2 linked regions of the Mytilus edulis genome follow. The protein of the gene in region 2 interacts with the protein of the main gene of each other region in a pairwise test. Links are inferred from orthologs where the notes say so. Each region holds a gene or a part of one and is shown on either strand. Other genes may lie near its edges.

What was found. The genes of interacting proteins can lie anywhere in the genome.
Region 1: the proteins of 14-3-3 protein beta/alpha-1-like (region 2) and slowpoke-binding protein-like interact in binary tests that used the Drosophila melanogaster proteins (3 or more experiments, as listed by UniProt). The link is inferred for Mytilus edulis from reciprocal best matches to the Drosophila melanogaster genes 14-3-3zeta and Slob.

Annotation. Positions count from the first base shown.
Region 1 is NC_092344.1:64,752,310-64,763,515, forward strand, and holds the start of slowpoke-binding protein-like, read right to left. Parts: upstream 5,695-11,206; 5' UTR 5,619-5,694; coding exon 5,583-5,618; intron 1,311-5,582; coding exon 1,246-1,310; intron 395-1,245; coding exon 297-394; intron 1-296. UniProt on the Drosophila melanogaster protein: Regulator of calcium-activated channel Slo. Increases or decreases the voltage sensitivity of Slo, depending on the absence or presence of 14-3-3-zeta in the complex, respectively.
Region 2 is NC_092355.1:77,870,670-77,882,474, reverse strand, and holds the start of 14-3-3 protein beta/alpha-1-like, read right to left. Parts: upstream 5,337-11,805; 5' UTR 5,279-5,336; intron 5,136-5,278; 5' UTR 4,993-5,135; coding exon 4,678-4,992; intron 1,280-4,677; coding exon 1,132-1,279; intron 1-1,131. Other genes in the region: mRNA turnover protein 4 homolog, read left to right, coding at 5,586-5,613, 9,636-9,694. UniProt on the Drosophila melanogaster protein: Required in Raf-dependent cell proliferation and photoreceptor differentiation during eye development. Acts upstream of Raf and downstream of Ras, and is essential for viability.

The sequences.
Region 1 (11,206 bases), on a different chromosome or scaffold from region 2:
TAAAGACTTTGGTATCATTTTTAATTAAGAAATAATTTATGCAAGCTATACTTTATTGTAGTTGTAACATGGGTAGGTATTATATTCATGAATATAATGCCTACCCATGTTAAAACTACAATTAAGTCTAGCTTGCATCAATTATTTCTATTCTGATAAGGACAATTAAGGTCATTTCTATGTCTGATGTGTATAAGTATAGAACGATCGTGTAGGCTTTTCTATGAACCTCCCTTTTTGTTTGGGGAAAAAGCAAACGACTGTTAACTATAATTTATAAAATTATGAAATCAAACCTCTCAAAATGTTTTCCTGCTGAGTCTTTTCAAATCTGATTTTCTGTGGTAGCGACTGTTCATCCCTCAATGCTGTGTAGTCAAAGCGACGACATCGTCTATTACAAGAAAACATATTTTTCATTTTAATGTCAGATTCTGTTGTCTTCAATTAATTTTTATATGTCTTGTTAATATATACAAGTACAATTCTATTAAAGAGGATATTAAAATGAAAGCAACATGATTAGTGCCACTGAAGTACAAGCATAGCACAAGAGTTTTCAAAAAATTTCAGGAGCATGCTTCACAAAACATCTTTTGACTAGAATGAATATCAGTTATACATGTTATACTGAAATGTTCATGATTTACATTTTTTATCCTTATATATCATGTATATATCTTTGAAATATATGAACTTCTTGGTCACACTGTATATCATTTTTTTTTTAAATAAGTGTAAATTAAAAATAACACTATACATTTCATGGGCGTATAATATAAAACAGGTTTTGTGTGGTGACCGTGACTATATATATAGTGTCTCATAAGCCTTTCTAGGCTGGGTATTTGTCTTATTTTATCATTGTGCAATGTATATTATATAATCTGTATAAAAAATCTGTAGACAAGTATGTGACACTTTAATAAAATAAATTATTATTATTATTATTATTATTATTTACTAAAATAAAAGTCTGACTTCTTGACCGAGAAAACCTTATTCTCAACTATTTCATTGATTTGTAGGAAAATTATAAATGAATAATTTTTTTACATTTCAAAATATTTTTAAATCAAAATATGATATTGCAGTACGTCTTGATCATTTCCCCAAACTTCCACAGAATTTTCTATTCAACTTTTCTGTAACTTTTTCTAATTTTTGTAGTGATGGTTCCAATGTTTGATTGCAGTCATAAGTTAGAACTCTTAAACGAATGACAATGAAAAATATATGACATACCTGCACATGCAATAAATTATAATAACTACAGCAATCAATAGGACAACACCAGCTACTATTGGAACCTGTAAATAATTTTATATTGATGATTAAAACAACAAAAGACAATCCAAAATATAACAAAAGACTCAACATATTCAAGTTGATTCTATGCAAAATGTAACAGTTGAACAAACAAGATGATTCAGTAAAAAATATAACAGTAGTTCACACAAAGTGATTCAGTAAAAGATTTAACAGTAATAAACACAAAATGATTTAGTGAAAAATATAAGTCATGACAGTAGTACACAGTAGCAAACCACAATATTATTTATGTGTACTGGGTAAATTTCCCTGTCTTGTTGCCTACATAAACATCATAATAAGCTTTACTATTTAAATATTGGTTTTGTATCCCTCAAATACCAGTTCCTACTGCTATGCATGTTATATTATCTTCAATACTATTTATTCTGTAATGCTTAGCCCGAATTAACTCCAAAGCCAAATTATGCCTGGTCAAAATATTTTGTTTGTCCTAGACCATGTTCACCATGTACACTTGTTCTAAGAAAGATAAATTTATTTAATACTCATATTTTTATAAAGCTTTGTTTAATTTGCATTCCATTAAGATAATCTCTACCATTTTACATTATTCTAACGGTAAACCATGTACACGAGTGAGGTTTATGAAATTTTTCAGATGTTTAGACTTTTGGGTTCTTTTCCTACGATATTGGGTAACATTCTTTTGCCACTGCCTATCACCCATGCACTTTTCTTTCCATAGAAGACATCAATAGCTCATAAAAAAGTCATATGATACCAAAATTTAAGTGGATTCTAAATTTTTTTTTCTTATGATTTCAGCTAGACCCAACTAAAGCCAATGCTTAACCCTTTCACCGATTGCTGCCCAGACAGAAGCTACTCTGAGACGATGGCTTCCCTGGCTACTTTTACTCAGGTGGGAGATCTTCATAATAAATGTCAATAAAAACTTGTTTGTAGTTATTTGTGTATTTATTTTATTCACTAACACCATGTTCACAGTTTGGTTTATGTTTTGATAACGTTTCTTCATAAAATATTCAAATTTTCAAATATTCAGCATTATATGAGTGAAATTCTCAAATTTCTGCTCTTTGACCCCAAATCGTAATTTTTTAACCCAAAACAGCAAACTTTTGAAAAATTTTATGAGGCTGTACAAATTCCTCACACTGAACGATGTCCATTCCAAGTGTTTTGTACATAAAACGACATTTTATGTTAAAAAAGTTTACTAGTTTTGCTTCAATTCTTCCATATTCTTTCAAAAAAAATGTGTCCTCATTTCAAATTCTCGAAAAAAATCCTCTGATTTTGACACGGTTTTCAACAAACGGAAGCGCCATGTTTACACTTTCATCCGGGTATTCATTAAAGAAAGATAACTCATGTTTGCACTTTTGAGCAGGAAATATAAAAGATGTATTCTGATCCCGGTAAAACGGGACTCATTGTCAGCCGTCTGAAGCGTGAATCCCGGTAAACCTGGACTCATCGGCGAAAGGGTTAATATAATGGTAAAAGTCTGAGTCAGCCTTTTCCTGCATTTCTAAAAAAAATCAAATATCCCAAAACCCTTATTCTGCTCTTTTAATAAACTTAGATTGAAATTAAATGACTTATCTATACCATGTATACTACTCAGAGGAGAGATGGATTTAATTAAGCCACAACTCCTCTGAAACCATACAAAAATCAGAATATCAATGACAAAAATATTTTGGATGACAATAAATATATGTTTTGTACTTCCTAAATTTGTCTTTGAAACAATCTTTTTTTCCACAAAAAACGCATTAATAGAAAATCAATGAGGCCTAAATTAAAATATTGTTTGTTTGCCCTTTTCCGACCCTATGTTTTGAAACAGGGTAGGTAGGTAGGTAAAATATTTTATTTTTTTTCCCAAAAAAATAACTTGGCTCGGTATATTATTTGTCATGGATAGGGAGGTAGGTATAATATTTTATTTTATAGATACAAACTCTGCATAATGTCATTTGTGTCCGTTTTGTTTTTGCAAATACGTTTTCAGGGACTATTAGTTTTATAAAAAAATATCACGTAGAATGTGAAGCTAATTCATATGCACAGTACTATTTTGTTTTCAAAATATCAAAATATAGTGCTGTGCCGCATATCTTCAACGTTTATATGCCTGGAACTTTGAAGAGTTTGATCTTGCACTTATATTCTGTACTACGTACCTTGTATGTTTACCTAAGATTTTCTGTAAAAGATAACTTTGTACTGATTAGATCTATGTCCGGGCAGACATACATTACTAGTAGAAAAAGTCCCTAGAGTGTTAAAATGCTACAAGACTTAAAACTCTGAAAATTGTCACGTATTTTACATCGCCTTTATAAATGATCTGTATGGAAAACTTGGCGATTTTACTGCCAGATATTCTCCACTTTACAGGGTTTTGTCACTTGATTCATGTCAGATATAAATAATATAGCGGCATCGTTAACATAATCATCCTGATCTGCGGATCACAAAAGGCCATCCCTACATAGAATAAAACGTCCGTTTACAAATTAGTTTGTACACACGTTGATAATTTTGTATCAAACCAACTTATTTGTAAATGAACCCTGCTCTTATAAAGGTACAGAGTAGCGTACGTGATTTCAGTAAGCGTTCACATGCTGAACATCGATTTCAAACAAATGCTTTGAAACTTCAAATGCAAGTGTTAATGTCAAACGCTCAGGTGATACCAAACGGACTGGACATTATACGTTAAAGATAAAACCCGAGAATTCCGGTTAAAATTGTTTTGAGCGGGAAATACAAATATAAGATTTTTGGTAGGAACGAAAAAATAAATTAAAATAAAAACTTGCTGGTAAATACAAATAAAAGATTTTCAGGCGCCACGAATTTATAGGGTCGGTCGGTAAAGGGCAAACAATCAATATTTTAATTTAAGCCTGAAAATAGGACATTTCCTGTATTGTTTTGTAAGTATGTAAGTGCATTAGTTTTCTAAATTAAACGACATCCATCTGTTTTACAAAATGCAGAACTGTCCATTGGGAAAATGAAAGGGGCATTGAACTTGTGGAAGTGATCCTCTACCCTTTTTATATGTAAACACAAGTTTATAAAATTTATGTAGGAGAAACGTTTTTATGATGAATAAGGTATAAGAAAAAAAGATTGCATTTTAAAAATATATATTTATATTGTTAACAGGTTCATTTTTTTATATTCCCTAGCTTAGAGAGAAAAACAGTATTAAATTTGAACTTCTATCATCATCTTAAGGTTCATCATAACCTTTTGGCTAAAATGTCCGTATTTACACCCCAAATTTTACTCTGAATACAGACTAACCTATACACCTGCAACAGTTTTAAGGGATGGCAGGAACTAGATATATAAATTTTAAATGCATTTTATGTTTCAGAAAATTATAAACTTTTCTAGATTTTGCTATCCATTTTTTTTCGTTCCTGCAGAAGGTGCAAAAATTAGTAGTGAAAACGATTGAGAAGCTCCCCTCATATAATCAATGTTGTGAGTAGTATTGATTTAAATGGACAATAGACACCTGTAAACAATAGGTGATTTAACAGGTTTAAACTGTGTAACTGAGTGGACCGAATCAAATGAAACTCGGGTGTTTGTTTATTTTGCTATCTTCTGCAGACTGGAAAAAAATGAACATCAAAATCCAGGTAAGTTTTTAATTTTCTGAAACGTAGACTTCATATAACTTTTATATATCTAGTTCCTGCCATGCCTTTAAACTTTCCTGGATGTACCAGTTTTACCTGTACTCATAGTAATTTTAGAGGTGTAAACACGGCCATATTTTTCAATTCCTTATGATGAACCTTAATTCATATCAGCCGGTTCCACTCGTTTTATTTTCAGCCATATTTAACCCGGTCACGTGATAGGGCGAACTAGGCATAGCCCGACCTATAACAAATGAAGCAGCCCCACAGGCACCTGAATTCTGTACCCCTACCGATTTTTACGTGTTTACGCTCCTACCCAATGTTTTGACTAAAAGTTTAAGTCTTTTATCACTTATAACTGTATGAACTATCTTAAAACAATTGTATGTATGCATGTTTTCTATTTTTTGCGTTATTGTATAATTGTTGTTATTGATAAACGTTACGGAGGGATATTTCAATCCGGCAGTAAAGTATATGGAAGAGACTTTCTCTGAGTGTTTTTGACTTTGGAAGTTCAGTTTCGACCCAACTTTTTTGTTCGTTTTCTCAGGTTTTCGAAATTCATGGTTCGTATTTATGGAATTGTGTACATCTATCATTTACCCAGACATTATCCTCTAAGAAAGTTCTAAATGACATTTCTTCAATTCAGCAGTAACATCATTTAAACTTTGAGATGTTGCACCGTGTGCTAATCGTTCAAGGGAGATCATATGACAGACGACGGAAGTTTACACGGGGGACAACTCTATTTTTTCCAAATTGACATTTGGCGGGAAAACCGATTAGTAATTTAAAAAAAAGTCATTTCAGTTCAAAGTGCCTACAATGTTCACTAGTTCGACAGTAAATAACGAAATGGTGTAATATAAATCGTAATGTTGAAATTCCAACCTGTGAACAGTATATATGATGAATATTAAAAATATGGCAGTGGTTATTTTGCATGCTCTGATTAAAATATTTTAATCCAAGCCGGCAAAATAGCCTATTCTAAAGAATTGGCTATTTTGCCGGCTCCAGCAATATAGTCAATTCGTTATTTTGCAGGTTCTTTGTAAAGAATGAAATTTAATATTTTAAAAAGTACTATGAAAATGTGCACTGTCAACATAAAAGAATCCAATACTGACCGTTATATTCGTTAATTAAAACATTTCTCTGTCAAAAGTGTAAATATATTAATAACATGTATATGTATGCATAAAAATAAAATCTCATATTTTTTAACTGTATGTTATGAACCGGTATTGCATCATAAATTTGATAAAACATTATACAATATAACAAAGTGAATCACATGCATGTCTTAAAATATACGGTATGGATTTGTTTTAGAGCCGCAAAATTCAACGGAAATTGTCCCTGACATGAAATCAATGCTTGCAATGTACTAAATGTACTGAACGATGATCCCCATGAATAATTAATGTGCTAGTTCCCATTTAATAATGATGAAAAAACATAATCCCTTTTTGCTGGTGATAGATATATCTGAACCTAGTCATATGTATATGCTTTTCCATTTTTGAAATTTGTCCATCATAAAGAATCAAAAGATGCATGATATGATACACAACAAGATAAATGTCAACCAGATACTAAAAGTTAGAAACTCCGAGTAGAAACTATTATAGTTCGCCGTAACGGCAGTCTTTTACTACAATAAGCAAAACCCATGATATATACCGCATTTATACAATAAAGCTTTCCGAAAGGCCACGACATGCATGAATCGATAAATTCAATGGTAAACAACTCAAACGAGATAACCAACGGCCTGATTTATGTTTTGCGGCTTATTGTGTTGATGAGCTGCTGTCTATATTAATTAAGCTTCCTTAAGACATGTTAGAATCATTGGCTTTTTTTTTTAAAGGTCATAAAAACTACACGAGGGCAGGGGTCTTATTGTAACATGGCTATTGAATATTGTAAATTTATCACTCATGTTTTTATGTTTTTTTATATCTTTTTTGTATACTGTTTTTTGTTTATCTTTTGTTTAAACTTTTATTGCCATACACATTGTAATACAATTGAATGTATTAAAACGGCTTATTATAATAGGAAAACTGTGAGATGAATCCTTTCTTCTTCCAAAGTAGCAACATATTTGAATCTGTATATCTTGATGCATGATCATTCCTGATATTTATTGAATTTATTAAAACGTACGTCTTAATAGGAAATATGCGAGACGAATCTCTTCTTCTACAAAATTAGCAACGTATCTGAATCTGTATATCTAGATGCATTTTCTATTTCTGATATTCATTGAATTTATTAAAACCACTTCTTAATAGGAAAACTGTGAGAAGATCGAATCCTTTCATCTTCCAAAGTAGCAACGTACATGTACTTGAATTTGTATACAAAGATGCATTTTCTATTTCTGATATGATCTATTGCATTTATTTCAATAGGCTACTGTAAGACGAATCTTTTCTTCTTCCAAAATAGCGCCGTTCTTGAATTTGTATACATATCCAGATGATCCGAGATACATTTTCTATTTCTGCTATTCATCCATAAAGATGTTAAGGGAATTGTTCTATCAGATGTTTCCATTTGTAGTTCTCTGTGATATATACAATGATAGATGTAACGAATAATGAGACACAAATAACTTTATATATTGCCTAGGAGAATGATATATGATCAGATTAGTTCTTTTGATTTTCTTTATTGATCAAGATTATGTCACGTGATCGATGCTAATCAAGTATACGGATTCTTATATCAGTGAAAGTTTTGATGTAGTCTACAGTAAAATAAATATAAATACGTCTAGACGTATTAACGAAAAATAAGGCAGGATGTAATTTGTTATAGCTCAGACCAAAACGTACGAAATGTAAATGGTTGTATAAAAAGGCCATTCAAGAAGCTGTTTCCAGATAATATTCATCAATGTATGTAGGATGTATTAGGAGAAGCATATCATAACTGCGATAGCCTTTCTAAGATATGTATAATATCCATTGGGAATTTGAGACTATTTAATTCCATATAAAATCTAACTTGTTCGTATTCTTGTTAAACGGTTTGGATTGGTCAGGTTTATTCAAAACAATTATTATAACACATTTTGATGTGAAATATATGATTTTTGTCAAACTGTACAGACTTCTTCGAAATCAATCCTCGAAATTAGAAGACCAATTAATATTGGTGTTTTACTGACATTTAAATCAGTCCAAATATAATGGAATTTTATTATAATCCACGGAGCAAATCGGATAAGCAACCTTGAACAAACAGGGGATTTCATCATACATTCACACCAACGCCAGCATGCCTTATTGAAAAACGCAATTTCTATTATACGTATGCAGCGTTTTCCATGTCTTCACTGATATCGCCGATCGACGTCATATCATACCCCAACCTTGTCTCTCAGTCCGATATTGGTGTCTCGAGATGATTCCCTTTCAATGTATAATGATATCTTTGTTAATTAAGTTTTCTACAGTTTCATCAAATTTTTATATGTTCATAGTTTTGTCCAATGCTATATGATATAAAACCAATAATCATGTATTTCTAAATATTTGAACTGTTCATTGACTGATTTTGACATTTTGAGACTGAAATTTTCTAGTTTAAATTCTGTATATGGCCACTGATATTTCATTTAATAGACAAAATAACTGTATAAGAATGCTTTATCTCAAAATATACGTAACTATTCTTCGTCATATTTTAGATACGCGTGCAAACGTGTGTGATTTTTCTTTTTATTCGTGGGGGCCATACAAAGTTTCTAATTGTTCCTGTACGATTTTGAAAAAAAAGTTTTAAAAAAAAATGGTGAAGAAAAGCATAAATGATTGGCGACTTTTGTAAATATACTGTTCTTCTTTGTGGCCATATATAAATGTATATAATGTTATCAATATACTGTTCTAATGGATGACCTGAAAAAAGTACATATTTTGTGAAGACAGAAGGAATAGTCTAATCGACTTATTTTGTCGTTATGTTTCAGGCGGCATGTTTCATCATAAAGTCAGACAGTACCTTAAACTCATATTAAAATATATTAATTTTACAACAATAGAGAAAACCATTAAATTGATTGGTTTCCAATTTCATTGCTATTCTAAAACTACATCATACTGACTCAATTTCAATTAAGCTTTTATTTTTATATCAAGCCGATTAATAATGACATCCGAAAACAACTTCTACCGACTAATGCTTACGTCTTTGTTCAGACTCATTTCTCAGCCCAACGTGCAAAATTTAATTTGTATCGAATTTATTCTATTTCAATAAAACAATAAACTAAGCAGACAGTAATCAATATAAATGTGTGGTAAATAGTATCATGAGATCTTTAGAGAGAACTCGGTTGCCTCGTAGGTGTAATTTTTAATTCCGATTGTCTACAGGGTTTACTTTGACATACAGCTAGTCCAATCAAAGTTATATTATTTTTGAATTGAAGAATATATAGCTACTCTTGTACATACTGAAGCAGTGCGCTATATCGTTTTCAAAGAGCGGTGATACATAGCCAAGCCACACGTTCAATACAACAATCCTTTCGATCTGCAATCTATCCTTCACTTCAATCGAATAGCTGTCCATTCTGACGTAGCAGTTTTGTAATTTTAACTTGACCGTCGAAAATATGTAAATTTCGGTTGCTTACCGAAACAAAGCATTTTAGAACTGGCAAATATGAAAACGAATCAACGGGCTATAAACGCTAGAAGTGATTGTAAATGTTTTTTTCTCCGATGTAAAAAAAAAAAATACCAACTGAAGATTTTTTTTTTAGATTATGAGTGTTTTTAACTGAGAGGAGTTTTTAAAGCGTGTGTCATATATTCGAAAAAAATCATACAAATTTGAAAATGCAGTACGATTGCCAATGAGATAAATCTCCACTATAGACCACATGACAAGAAGCCATGCAACAACCATAGGTCTCTGCACGGCCTTCAACAACGAGCATAACCAATACCACACAGCAAGCCACAAGAGGCACCAACATGGTCACATGAAAAACATTAAACATGCTTGAAACATCGACAAAAAGACTTTAAACAAATATTGATAAAATCACGAAACTTGCACTGCTTAGAACCTTACGCCACATTTCAGTCGATACTTTATGGGTTACCTGTCATCAATTCTAATTAATGTTGATTGAAAATACTTCTTTCATGCAGTTAATACCAGTTCATTGGTGTTGGCGTGTTTAAAAAATATATATGTAGCTAAAGAACTTTGTCAAGGTTTGAATAATCAAAAATATTTTCCCTTGAATTACTGCATGATGTATATCTTTGTTAATTAGTTAACAACTGGCAAAGAAGTAGTGTGAAGTAATATCCATTATTAAACGGAAAACATTTCACCGGAATACAGAATTTAAACTGTGACTGACCGCGTCTTCGTTAGTGATGTTGGTGGATTTTTTGTTGGGGTGTAAAAGTGGGGGGGGGGGGGGGGGGGGGGAGGGGCTGGGGCTCTAGAAATGTTGCAAGTGTCAAAGTTGAAATGTCAAAAATATTATTGAGAATGATGAAAAAAAGCTATGGCAGTAGTACGAATATACGAAATAGTGTGTTTTGCTGGTTTGTTTTAGGATCAAAATATAGTGCTTCAACTATTTTGATCGACTTTACTAAAGTTAATTGAAGTCAGTAGGAGAGAGAAAGGCACACCAACATGTTTTATCTCAATCCTATCCCTATGACGGCCCCAGTCCCTATTGCAATTACCGATTATGCTTCTTACAATATATAGGTATCATCTTTCTATATTGCACCACACACAAATTAAAATTGCCCCCATTTCCACTCTTTTACTGAAACTGTTTCCAGAGTTCATGAATCGTTTCCAATTAATCTTAGGATCAAAATAAATGTACTAAATATCTCCCACATTCGAATCAATCATTCGAGAAATGTTCATTCAATAATTTTATGAGTAGTTCCGTGTGAGATCAATAAAACGACATTATTGGAAACTTTGGCAATATTTCCCCCCATTCAGCAGCTGATTTTGTACATCATCAACCGCTTCAGTTATTTTTAGCAGAAAATAAGCTCAAGTGTTTACTTAATTTAACTTGCAGAATTCTTTAGAGGAATAGATGTGGCGTGTAGGTTTTTTTTTGGATATTAAATCAATGTATATATAAATGTAAGTATCCTTTGCTTTTTTACCTCAGCTTATGTAAGATAGTTGTACATAATTGAGTTGATTAT
Region 2 (11,805 bases):
TGATCTGAGTTTTGTTGATATAAGTAATATGCACAAGTTTCATAACATTTGGTTGAGGCAAACTTAAGTTAGTGAGCGGAAATGAAAAATTCAGCAATTTTTCCATTTGTATAGAGGCATATCTCTAAAACTGTTAAGTGACTTCTTTTCTGGTAATAAGCATTTTGTATAAGTTTCATAACCTTTGATTGAGGCAAATTGAAGTTAGAGAATTCAAACAGAAACCAACTTTGGAACTTACAGATGGACAAGGTTCAAACTACATATATGTAAATGGCCCCTCCTCTACAGTGTGGAAATAAATAATTGAAACAATTAAGCCTATTTCAAGAGGTGTTCTCTTATTTTTAGGTTCAATATGCATCCTTTTAAGATTAGCTAGGTAAACACATTCTAAAGCATGTCAACAAGATGGTGACCTGAAGACATGGTTTTGTTTAATATAGCATTAGAGTGTTGGTTTTTGTTTTTTTATCTTTTGATCAAACAAAGGATTAGATCTAAATGTAATATTGGTCATGTTATTGTTAACTATTTTTTATTTTTTAGATGGAAGAGAAAAGCTTTCCAGTACTGACAAGTAAAGATTGATATCAAATGCATTGTACATGTATTAAGAAATGGGGTCGAGGAGATGATGAGACTGACTGGTTTATTTGTGTTTTAGGGAGACTGACTGGTTTATTGGTGTTTTAGGGCCACTATTCATTTGAGAAAGCCGGAGTGCCCAGAGAAAACAATGACCTTCAATAGGAAAACTCACAAATCTAGTCAATGAAGATTGGAGTTGAGTGAACCCATAGGAGTGGGCTAGAACTCACAAACCTCAGTGTTGACTGGCTTATGATTTCAGTTTAAGAACTACTTAGACCACTTAGCCTCGAATGATGAGACTTTGTAGATTTCAACATCATTATTTACCTTGTTTACCCTCAGCCCCATCCTCATCTGCAACCTCTGCCAGATATCGCTAGTAATCTCCCTTTATGAGGAGATCAATAGATCATTTGAGTACAATGTATTTACCTTGTTTACCCTCAGCCCCATCCTCGTCTGTAACCTCTGCCAGATATCGGTAGTAATCTCCCTTTACGAGGAGATCAATAGATCATTTGAGCACAATGTATTTACCTTGTTTACCCTCAGCCCCATCCTCATCTGTAACCTCTGCCAGATATCGGTAGTAATCTCCCTTCATTTTTAAATAGAACACTTTGCTTTCATTTCCACTATCTGTATCTTCAGTAGCTTCTTTTAATAAATGTTCATCAAGCAGATGCTGTAAAAAATGAAGATTTAAAAGTGAATATCTACTTAAATGTTGACAACAGTGTGTTGCATAAGTAGAAAATTTCCCAAAGTAGGATGTCGTTCGGAGGACAAGCCTGCAGGTGTTAACAATTGGGATGTTAACCTAAGGCGATGGTAGATAATTGTTCATGTATACTATAAGTTAAAGTACATTATGTACATTTAACAATAATGAAATTGTACAGGGGCATAACTCTACATGTTCTAGAACAGTAAATGTGATGCCACCCTGATTCACACTTGAACTGTGTTTTGTTGAAATAAGTGTTGTTTATAAGTGACATAATATTTGGTTGGGTTAGGCCAAATAAAATTTCATGCTTGGTTCCAGGTACCCGACCAACCCTAGTTGAAACCCCCCCCCCGACCCTAGAACTTTTTTTTCATTTCTAAAAATAATTTTTCAAATGATCATTTTTGAAGATTGCGAATTTGATTAATTAAATTCATAGATTTCAATCAACTGAATTTCCATCATTAGTATCTGTTATCAGGTTAACATGCCAGTCTGCACCAAAAACTTTATAACTACTAGTCCGAATACCAATATTCTGACATTTTTCTTATTTGGCCAAACAAAGTTTTGCAAAAACTTGCTAGTCCGAAGGAAATTTTACTAGTCTGGGGCATTGGACTAGTGGCTAACCGTGCAGACTGACATGCAACAATTCATATCAGAAGGCATTCAAATGAACTACAAACATACATGTAACAGACTGTTTATTTTCCAAACAAACATGTAAAATGGTGAACTTCTGGTTTGGGCTTGTATAATACCAGAATCAAATCAGGGGAACACCAGATTTTTTCCAGATTTTGACAATCCAAAAAGAAATATTACAAAAGAAATTTAAAAAAAATGCCGACCTACTGAGTTACTTTTTAATAGGATGTAACTGGAACCACACATAATAGAAATAGAACAGAAACTAATTTTTGGAATGGACAGACCCAACTACAGATGGACAAGGGCAACACTGCACACTTGGCTGTGGTGGGTCCACAAAAATTATAAACCCATTATTTCTTCTCATAATATTTTGTAAAACAAAATGTAAGTTCTATGGAGACCAAGCTTTAATATAACACAAATATGACTATTTGAATGCATAGATAACAAAACATTTCATATTTGTTTCACTGTTTTGGTGACAACAAAAATTAAATCTTTAATAAAATATTCTGCAAACTGTTGGCATCTACAGTAACAAATGTACACTGACATTAAGTCAACTTCACTGAAACAAAGCTTTTTAAAAAATGAAAATCACTCTCCCTTTTAGGCATAAGTTTTTTTTAAAGAAATTTCCACTTTCCTGGCAAAGCCAGTGCTCAAATGTCTTCTACCATAAGTTACATATAACCAGTAGTCTGATGCCTAGACTAGTAAAATTTTATTGAGACCAGTAAGTACAAATAAAATGTGTTTGCAAAAATTTATTAAGTCTTTAAAGGAAAATGTTGGAATTTTGGTATTCAGTTTGGTAGTGGGAACTGGAAAAAGATTTTGATGCAAACTGCTGCAGCAGCAAATCCCCCAACCAGATGTGAAAAGTGCATACTCTACTTAACAAAGCTGCCAAACTGAATACCAAAATTCATGCATTTTCCTTTTTGGCTTCTAAAATTCCAAATTTAAAATCATAATACAGTCCTTTTTAGAAGCCAAAAAGAATTTGAAAACAAATTATACACTTGCAAGGTTTAAGGTTAATTTTAAGTGCAGTTGAAGGGCCTTTTTTTTTAATTTGTATCAAGTTGTTGGCTTTGATTAGGCAATGCAGGTAAAAATATACCAAACAGCAGTCTGCACGATTAGCCACTAGTCCGATGGCTAAGACAAGTAAAATGTCCTTTGGACTGTTTGGCTCTATAATAAAAATGTTTAGGATATTAGTCTTGGACTAGTAGTTGAAAAAAGTTTTTGGTGTAGCCTGAAGAAACAGTTGAGAGAGCGAAGGTCTATTAACTTGCATTCCATACCATGTGCATTTGTACAAGACAAGTCAAGACCTGACAATATAAAGTCCATAGATCATGACCAGAGATGAGTTAGTCGGGAAATTTTTTGTTCTGATACTGATAGTAATGCAACCTTTTAGAAAATATCTACTTTTGATCTAGTTCCTACGAAATTGACTCAAACAGAAAAGTTAACATTAAAAAATTGCTTATTATTTCAAACTCATGATCAGTAGACCATGACCTTAGGGGAAGTAAGTTTTATTATAATCAAGTTATAAATTGAAAAACACCCCTTGTCTCGGCTTCCTTATTCTTTCCATTCAGATCCTTTTCACAATGTACATGTACATATTATATGGCAATATGCTGTCTAAAATTAAATGAACAATAGGAATAAACACAACCTTTTCATCTTCTATACAAATACAATTGAGAATGGAAAAACAAGGAATGTGTAGCAGAGACAACATCCATCATCAAAGAGCAGAACATTTATAACTGTCTTGTTACTGTTACAGAATGGAGTGAGTCTGTAGATATATTGACTAATTGATTGTTGTAAAAATACTTCCATCATGCACATCAAGGTTGTATTTAAATAATAGACCTGGTTATATATTGTTTTTTCTCTTGTACTTTCAGTTTGTATACATAGGGAAACATTAATACTAGCAATTTAAAAATACAGCTTAGGAAAAATGAGACCTATCCCAAATTTTGAACGATTCAAGCTATTATCTCATGTATTTGTACGAAGTGCACACTCAGAAATATATATATAGTGCATTAAGCCTTTTTAAAATCCTTTGGTACAAGAACCTTCTTTTATTTTTTATGCATTTAACTACATGTATAACGTCTTAAGTTGCATACACCTACAGACTTCATATAAATGCAAGCCAAGAATAATGCATTTAAAAACTGCTGGCAATTTTAATATGGATACTAGTACTTCATAGTGGAAAATCACACAGGTTTGTCATTTTTGCATAATTTATGCAGAGTGCTCCATTATATAATCAGTGCTGCCAAGCTGTTGATTCTGTGAACAATAAGATAAATCATTGCATACTGCATTCAAGATGTCCACGGAGTGTCTAGATCTGCAATAATACTGCAGAGGAGATGATGAGCTCATGACTCATGCAAAATTTTTACATTTTTATCAATGACGCGGATGAATATACAAACACATGCCAATTTTATGATGATCCAAATTCTCGTCTTCCTGCACATGCAAAAACGATGCTATCTGAATCTGTGTATTGCGATCGGGTGTAGAATATATTTTCTTTGATATATAAACATCTATAACTTAAAGAAAACACAATAAAAATAAACATGCAATGAAAACTGCACGCAAAACGACACAACAAGAAACATCCGTCAACTTTCACTCACCAGAACGTCTTTGCAAATTTCTTGGAGTTCGGTTGTTACTTTGTTTTTGTAATCTTTAGCCAATTGCTGTTTCTTTTCTGTGCCATCAGTCTTAGATTCTATACTTGAAATTACTCTCCATGATGACCGCCGGGCACCAACAACATTTTTGTAGGCAACGGAAAGTAGATTCCTCTCCTCGTTGTTCAACTTCCTAAACTTTTCGACCACTTTTTTCATGGCCTCGGCCATATCATCATACCTTTCAGCTTGTTCAGCTAACTTAGCTTTTTGAACTAGTGTCTCGCGTTCCTTTTTATCTTCGACTTCCGACATGGTTAAAATATTTGTAAATAATCGAAATTTGAAGTCTACTACTCTTTACTCTATCTCCACCTTCCCAATATGGCGGAATACACTAACCAATCAAAGTACAGGTGACATCACTGATTCTTCCGCTACTCCTTTATTTTCATGGACTAAAATGATAAAGTTTAATTGTTTATATTCTATAAAAATATGTCAGGGAAGATTAATTCACTAAAAAGAATAAAAATAGTTATCGTTTGAATAATCGAATATATTATGCAGTGGGACTATTTTGCATCAAAATTCCTAAAACCTGGAAGTGGGTTATCTTCTCTTGAATTCCATTTCTTTCGATAGATTTCGGGGATTACATTCTTTCGAAAAGGTAGCCCTAACGTCACTGTTGCTATGTCAACTCCTAGCCGGGTGTCGAAGGTCAACGTTGTTAATAAATAAAACTTTACCATAAATTATTTTCAATGATATTTTCGAATTGGAATTGATAAAAAGTGTAATAATTTTAATAAAAATATTTTTTTAATTCAATTCCTGAAAACAGGAATATTTCCTTATTTCCGGTTGAAAAAAACACGTGTGTTTGTGTACATTTTATTATCAAGATGCCAAAGTCAAAAAGGGACAAGAAAAGTATTATTATATTGTTGTTTATTCAAAGAACTGCTTATACACACTACAAAATACAAATAAATGTTACAGTCATTTTGTAAAATCCCTGAAATTTTAACAGTTTGAAAATATTTGGGATTATAATTTTATACTATAGTTATTTTTTACTACTACTAGGTACATTGTATGAGTGTTTTTATGGGGGTTACGGTACTTTCGTGACTAACAAGGGGCCTCGGGGGCCGAGTGGGATAAGAAGTCCGATTCTAGCTAGTCAACGCTGAGGTTGTGAGTTCGAACCCTGCTCTTGCTGGTGCAAAGGGTTGCGTTCAATATCGTTCAATATTGTAGGGGCTATGTAGTGCTACGTAGATTTATGACTATTGAACTAGTAGCTAGCCTATTACTATGTAGCAGCTATACTAACTACTTGTTCAATAGTCATCAATTTACGTAGCCCCTACGATATTGAACGTGACCCTGAACTCCAATCTTCATTGATGTTTGTCAGTTTTCTTATTGAAGTAGTTACATTGTGTAACTAAATTGTTCAACCTTGTTTCACTTTCAATTTTGATATTTTTTTCATTAATCAGGTCAAGAATAACCACCAATTGGTGGATTATACCTCAATTGATGTATAATCCACCAATTGACATATAATGGTATAGACCAATTGGTGTATAATTCTTTGTTTTTCAAAGCAAATTATTCCACCAAAATGGAGCATTGTCTTCTTAAAAACATATTATGGTATGAAAACTTGTAAAACATTCCTAGTTTAGTATAGTGACATTACATATTGCATTTCAGTGGCGGATCCAGAACTTTTCCTAAGAGGTGGCCTGCTCCAGTCATGCTTCAATGATTCCCTATATAATCAACCAAATTTTTCCCACGAAAGGGGGGTCCTGGGCCCCCCAGGGCCCCCCTGGATCCGCCTATGAATTTAATCAATAATTGTATTTGCAGTTTCTTATATTGTTATATATCTTGTCAATTCTTGATTGGCAAATTTACCACTAATCACCTGTCAATGGACATCAATACTGTCTGCAGTCATGTGATCATGAGTACAACTCCACAGGTGAATGGAACTCTTTGTTTTAAATACTTCACTTTCATTATCAAAAGTCAATCATGGTCAATAGTACAAATGTTTCAACAAAAGAACTGTTGTACACATGCATTCTCAAGAGATGCAGCAGGCTTTGGCAAAACTGAAACTTTCAGAGGACTCAATAAAGGTCATAAAATAGGTTGCAAGTTGCAAAATCATGCTCCTATCTCACACTAGCATTTTCTTACAAAAAACTCCCATTATACATCAATTGGTCTATACCCATATATGTCAATTGGTGGATTACACGTCAATTGAGGTATAATCCACTAATTGGTGGTTATTCCTGACCTGTTAATATCTGAATAACTCAGTCATATTAGTATATGCCTTACCCAACTCAGCAGGGATAGAATTTAGTTTAAAATGTTGTTAAGACCACAGGTCTAGAGTAAATTTGTTCAGCGTAGTCCTGATAAAAACAGCCTAGCCCTAAGTCACCGATGAGGGTCGCGTCAGCGACCTGAACCTTCTAGCAGGGTTTGGGGGCATGCCCCCCCCCCACAAGAAAACTTTTCAGAACTACATTCTATTTCCTGCTATCTGAGACCATTCTGAATGTAAAAATGAGGTCTCATAATAGCCAATTTATGGAGTCTCAAAAAAGAAAGAAATGGAAAATAATTAAGATAACTATATTTAATTGATTTTTTTAAAGGCAGTGCTTTAAGGCATAAAACTTTGAGTTTTTGTGTCTTTCAAAGCACGAACAATATACAAAATTAGTTGCAGGGTAAAGACACTAAACTCATAAGTAGAAAAAAACAATACTTGCAATATGGTGACATATAGTTGTTAATTTCTGTGTCATTTGGTCTCTTGAAGAGAGTTCTCTTATTGGCAATCAGACCTTATAATGGCTTATCTTCTTCTTTTTATTGATTGCATTTAAAAAAACTTTTTTCAACTTAAAAAAAAATACAAAATACAAATCCAATGAGAATACAGGCCTATCAGATGGTACTCATGTGCAGAGTGTGATGAGACTAGCATTGATGAGAACTAGAACCTAAGTCCTGTGACATGACTAGATTCAGTTGTACTTGACTCATATTTTTAAAAGTATTTTTTTAAAAAAACCGTCAAATTCTGTTATATTGTTTAAATTCGTTTTGCTCCTTTAATAAACTAAAAATGAAAAAAGGTTATTTTAAATAGAAATTTTTTGGACAAGTAACAATTTCATTTGGACAAGTAAATTTTGGTATGTACTTGTCATGACAAGTTGAAAAAAAAGTTATTGGTGGTGTTGGTTTTCTTTCCTCCATTTGAAATCTAACCATAATTAAATTAGTCCAAAAATAAACTTCTATGCATATTTGGTTACACAAATTTAGTTTTGAGCCTGTTGATAACCAAATTTATAATTAAATGTTATTTTTTTATTTTACATATAAGGCCACGGTTTTTTAATTTGTTGGTTTACGGATTTTTCGCATAAAAAAGTCGGGTCGGTCGGTCGGAAAAAAAAAGAAAAAAAATATCTTTCAAAACAGAAAAAATATGCAAAATAAATATATATTTCACCTTACTAACAAAATGTTTATCTTATATGCTGTTTTGTCATCATTTCTTAACATTAAGTTCGATGAAATATTATTGATCAGTGATCATGAACATCGCATGACATCGTTTAATAATTTCCTGTAAAAAAAGGGGGGTTGCACGGACAAACACGAAATTAAATCGTCATTTCACAAACAAGAAAAACAGATTCGCGTAGCTCTCAGAAAACTTGGTGAATAATGATCTTCAAGCACAAAAACTGATAAAGAAAAAAAATATAAAAACGTCGTACAAAAATAAGTTTCAACACACGTGTCGAAAAACGTAATAGACTCGTCCACTGGAAAAACGACAATATCGGGTTAATCAGTTGTCATGCAATCCGGTTTTTATCCCAATGATTGATATTTTTTGTTATCTATGAAACAAGAAAATTTCAAATGATTTGTTAATATTCAGTACTTTAATTGATGTATTCCACCTGTCCACATTGGGCCATTCCAGTTAATATCTGCTAAAGGAGGATGGATGGTCCTTTCTGAGGGGTGTAAAATTTATACATCTTAGGGGTGAAATTTTGGGTTTTTTCATCTGACACGTACACATATACGCAAAAATTTCTGAGGGTCTTGCAGCAGAAAATAATTAAAAATAATTACATCTTAGGGGTTACAAAAAAAACCTATTTCAGATCTTAGGGGTGCTTTGGAATGTAAAAAAGTTTCGTATCATGCATTATCTGGTATTGTATTTAAAATTCTGATGGGTACAATCCTTGCAGTAAAAAATTCTGATAGGTCAATTTTTCCCATGAAAGCCATCCACCAAATATGAACAGGAACTCTAAATCTGATAGGTCTTAATTTATAGATCTGATAGGTAGTTTTACATGATGTTTTTTTCTGATAGGTATGAAAAAAAATCTCCCCATCCATCCCAACCTGTCAGAAATTAACTGGAATGGCACATTTGGACAAGTCTATTTCTCTGAGATGATGCATCTTACGGACTGATGACAAATAAGGGAAACGAACTAATTTGTAATTGGTTTTAAACACAGGTTTCGTTACGCAAAATTATTTGCGCAAAAGACATTTCAAGGTCAGTTATAATTGATTTGTCTATTTTCAGAAACGTAAATTGGAAGTTTTATTTTTCACAACAGAAAGTGTTATCAACTTTGTTAATGATTAATGCATTTCATTTCATAATAAAGGAAAATTTTAATTATTTTTCAGGGATAATGCATTTATAAGGGTCGGCGGGAATAAAAAAGCATGAAAAGTCAATTTTATTTTTATTCTGAAAATCGGCAAAATCGGGTCGGCGGATCCGTAAACCAACAAATAAAAAAACCGTGGCCTAAATGATGCTTCAAATGTTTTATGACTAACAAAATGTATATGTATCTTTTTAGTTTCATTAACACAGACAAAGAGGAAAGGTTTAGAACTGAAACAGAGGCTGATAGATGATGTAAGTACTAAAAACCAACAATATTATATAATATAAAGATAAGACAAAGAGGAAAGGTTTAGAACTGAAACAGAGGCTGATAGATGATGTAAGTACTAAAAACCAACAATATTATATAATATAAAGATAAGACAAAGAGGAAAGGTTTAGAACTGAAACAGAGGCTGATAGATGATGTAAATACTAAAAACCAACAATATTATATAATATAAAGATAAGACAAAGAGGAAAGGTTTAGAACTGAAACAGAGGCTGATAGATGATGTAAGTACTAAAAACCAACAATATTATATAATATAAAGATAAGACAAAGAGGAAAGGTTTAGAACTGAAACAGAGGCTGATAGATGATGTAAGTACTAAAAACCAACAATATACTGTAAATTCAGAAATTAATGCGAGGATTTTATTATTGCGAAAAATGTGACAGAGTTGTAAACGCAATAATTTAAACTCGCATAAAACAGGATTTTTCTCAAAATCATAAAAATTAAAATCGCATATAAGTTTTAAATTACAAATCGTAATAATAAATGCACGCTATAATTTCTGAATTTACAGTAATATAATAAGAAGATAAGACAAAGAAGAAAGGTTTAGAACTGAAACAGAGGCGGATAGATGATGTATTTGCTAAAACCAACAACATAACATAAAAGTAAGGAGATGAGGTATGATTGACAATGAGACAACTATCAACCAATTTTGATCACATGGTATGGGTTTTTCTCTTTGTTGAAGACCATGCATACAGTTGCCTATAATTGCGTTCATCCACTTTATTTGAACTTTGGTAGATAGTTGTCTCATTGTCAATCATATCACATCTCCTTATTTTTATACTTTTTTCTACTAGTGTGATAAAGCTGTGTTTCTAAATTTAAATAAAAAGTAAAAACACAAAAACACTGAACTCCAAGGAAAATTCAAAAAGGGAAGTCCAAAATCAAAAGGCAAAATCAAAAGTCCAAACACATCAAACGAATGGATAACAACTGTCATATTTCTGACTTGGTACAGGCATTTTTTAATGTAGAAAATGGTGGATTGAACCTGGTTTTATAGCTAGCTAAACCTCTCACTTATATGACAGTCACATCCAATTCCATTACATTGTCAACGATGTGTGAACAAAACAAACATACTCAAAGAGTAAAAATGTCAAAAATAGGGGTACAGCAGTCAACATTATGTTATCATCTTAATCACTATAAAAACAACAAATGTAACGAAGAAGCACAAAAAGGCATACATCATGTTTCAATAAAATGAAAATTGATGAAAACTGTTTAAAAATTTCTTTAACCCTTTACTCCATAATGACATTTTTTGACGCCACCCCCTTTACTCCATAATGACGCCTTTTGATGCCTGTGTAGTGCCTCAGTTGAAACGTCTTACCTAGGAAAAATCTTTATCAGGCCTAAATTAAAATATTGTTTGTTTGCCCTTTTCCGACCCTATGTTTTGAAACAGGGTAGGTAGGTAGGTAAAATATTTTATTTTTTTCCCCAAAAAAATAACTTGGCTCGGTATATTATTTGTCATGGGTAGGCAGGTAGGTATAATATTTTATTTTATAGATGCATATAAATGTCATTGGTGTCCGTTTTGTTTTTGCAAATAAGTTTTCTGGGACTATTAGTTTAAAAAAAAAATCATGTAGAATGTGAAGCTAATTCATATGCACTACTATTTTGTTTTCAAATATAACTAAATAGAGCTGTGCCGCATATCTTCAACGTTTATATGCCTGAACTTTGAAGAGTTTGAACTTGCACTTATATTCTGTACTACGTACCTTGTATGCTTACCTTAAGAATTTCTGTAAAAGATAACTTTGTACTGATAATATATGTCTGAGCAGACATACATCACTAGTAGAAAAAGTCCCTAGAGTGTTAAAAACATCGTGTGTGCCTTTGTTTCCAATAAAAATGCTACTAGACCTAAAACTCTGACAATTGTCACGTTTTTTACATCGCATTTATAAATGATCTGTATGGACAACTTGGCGATTTTACTGCCAGATATTCTCCACTTTACAGGGTTTTGTCACTTTTGGTTCATGTCAGATATAAATAATATAGCGGCATCGTTAACATAATCAT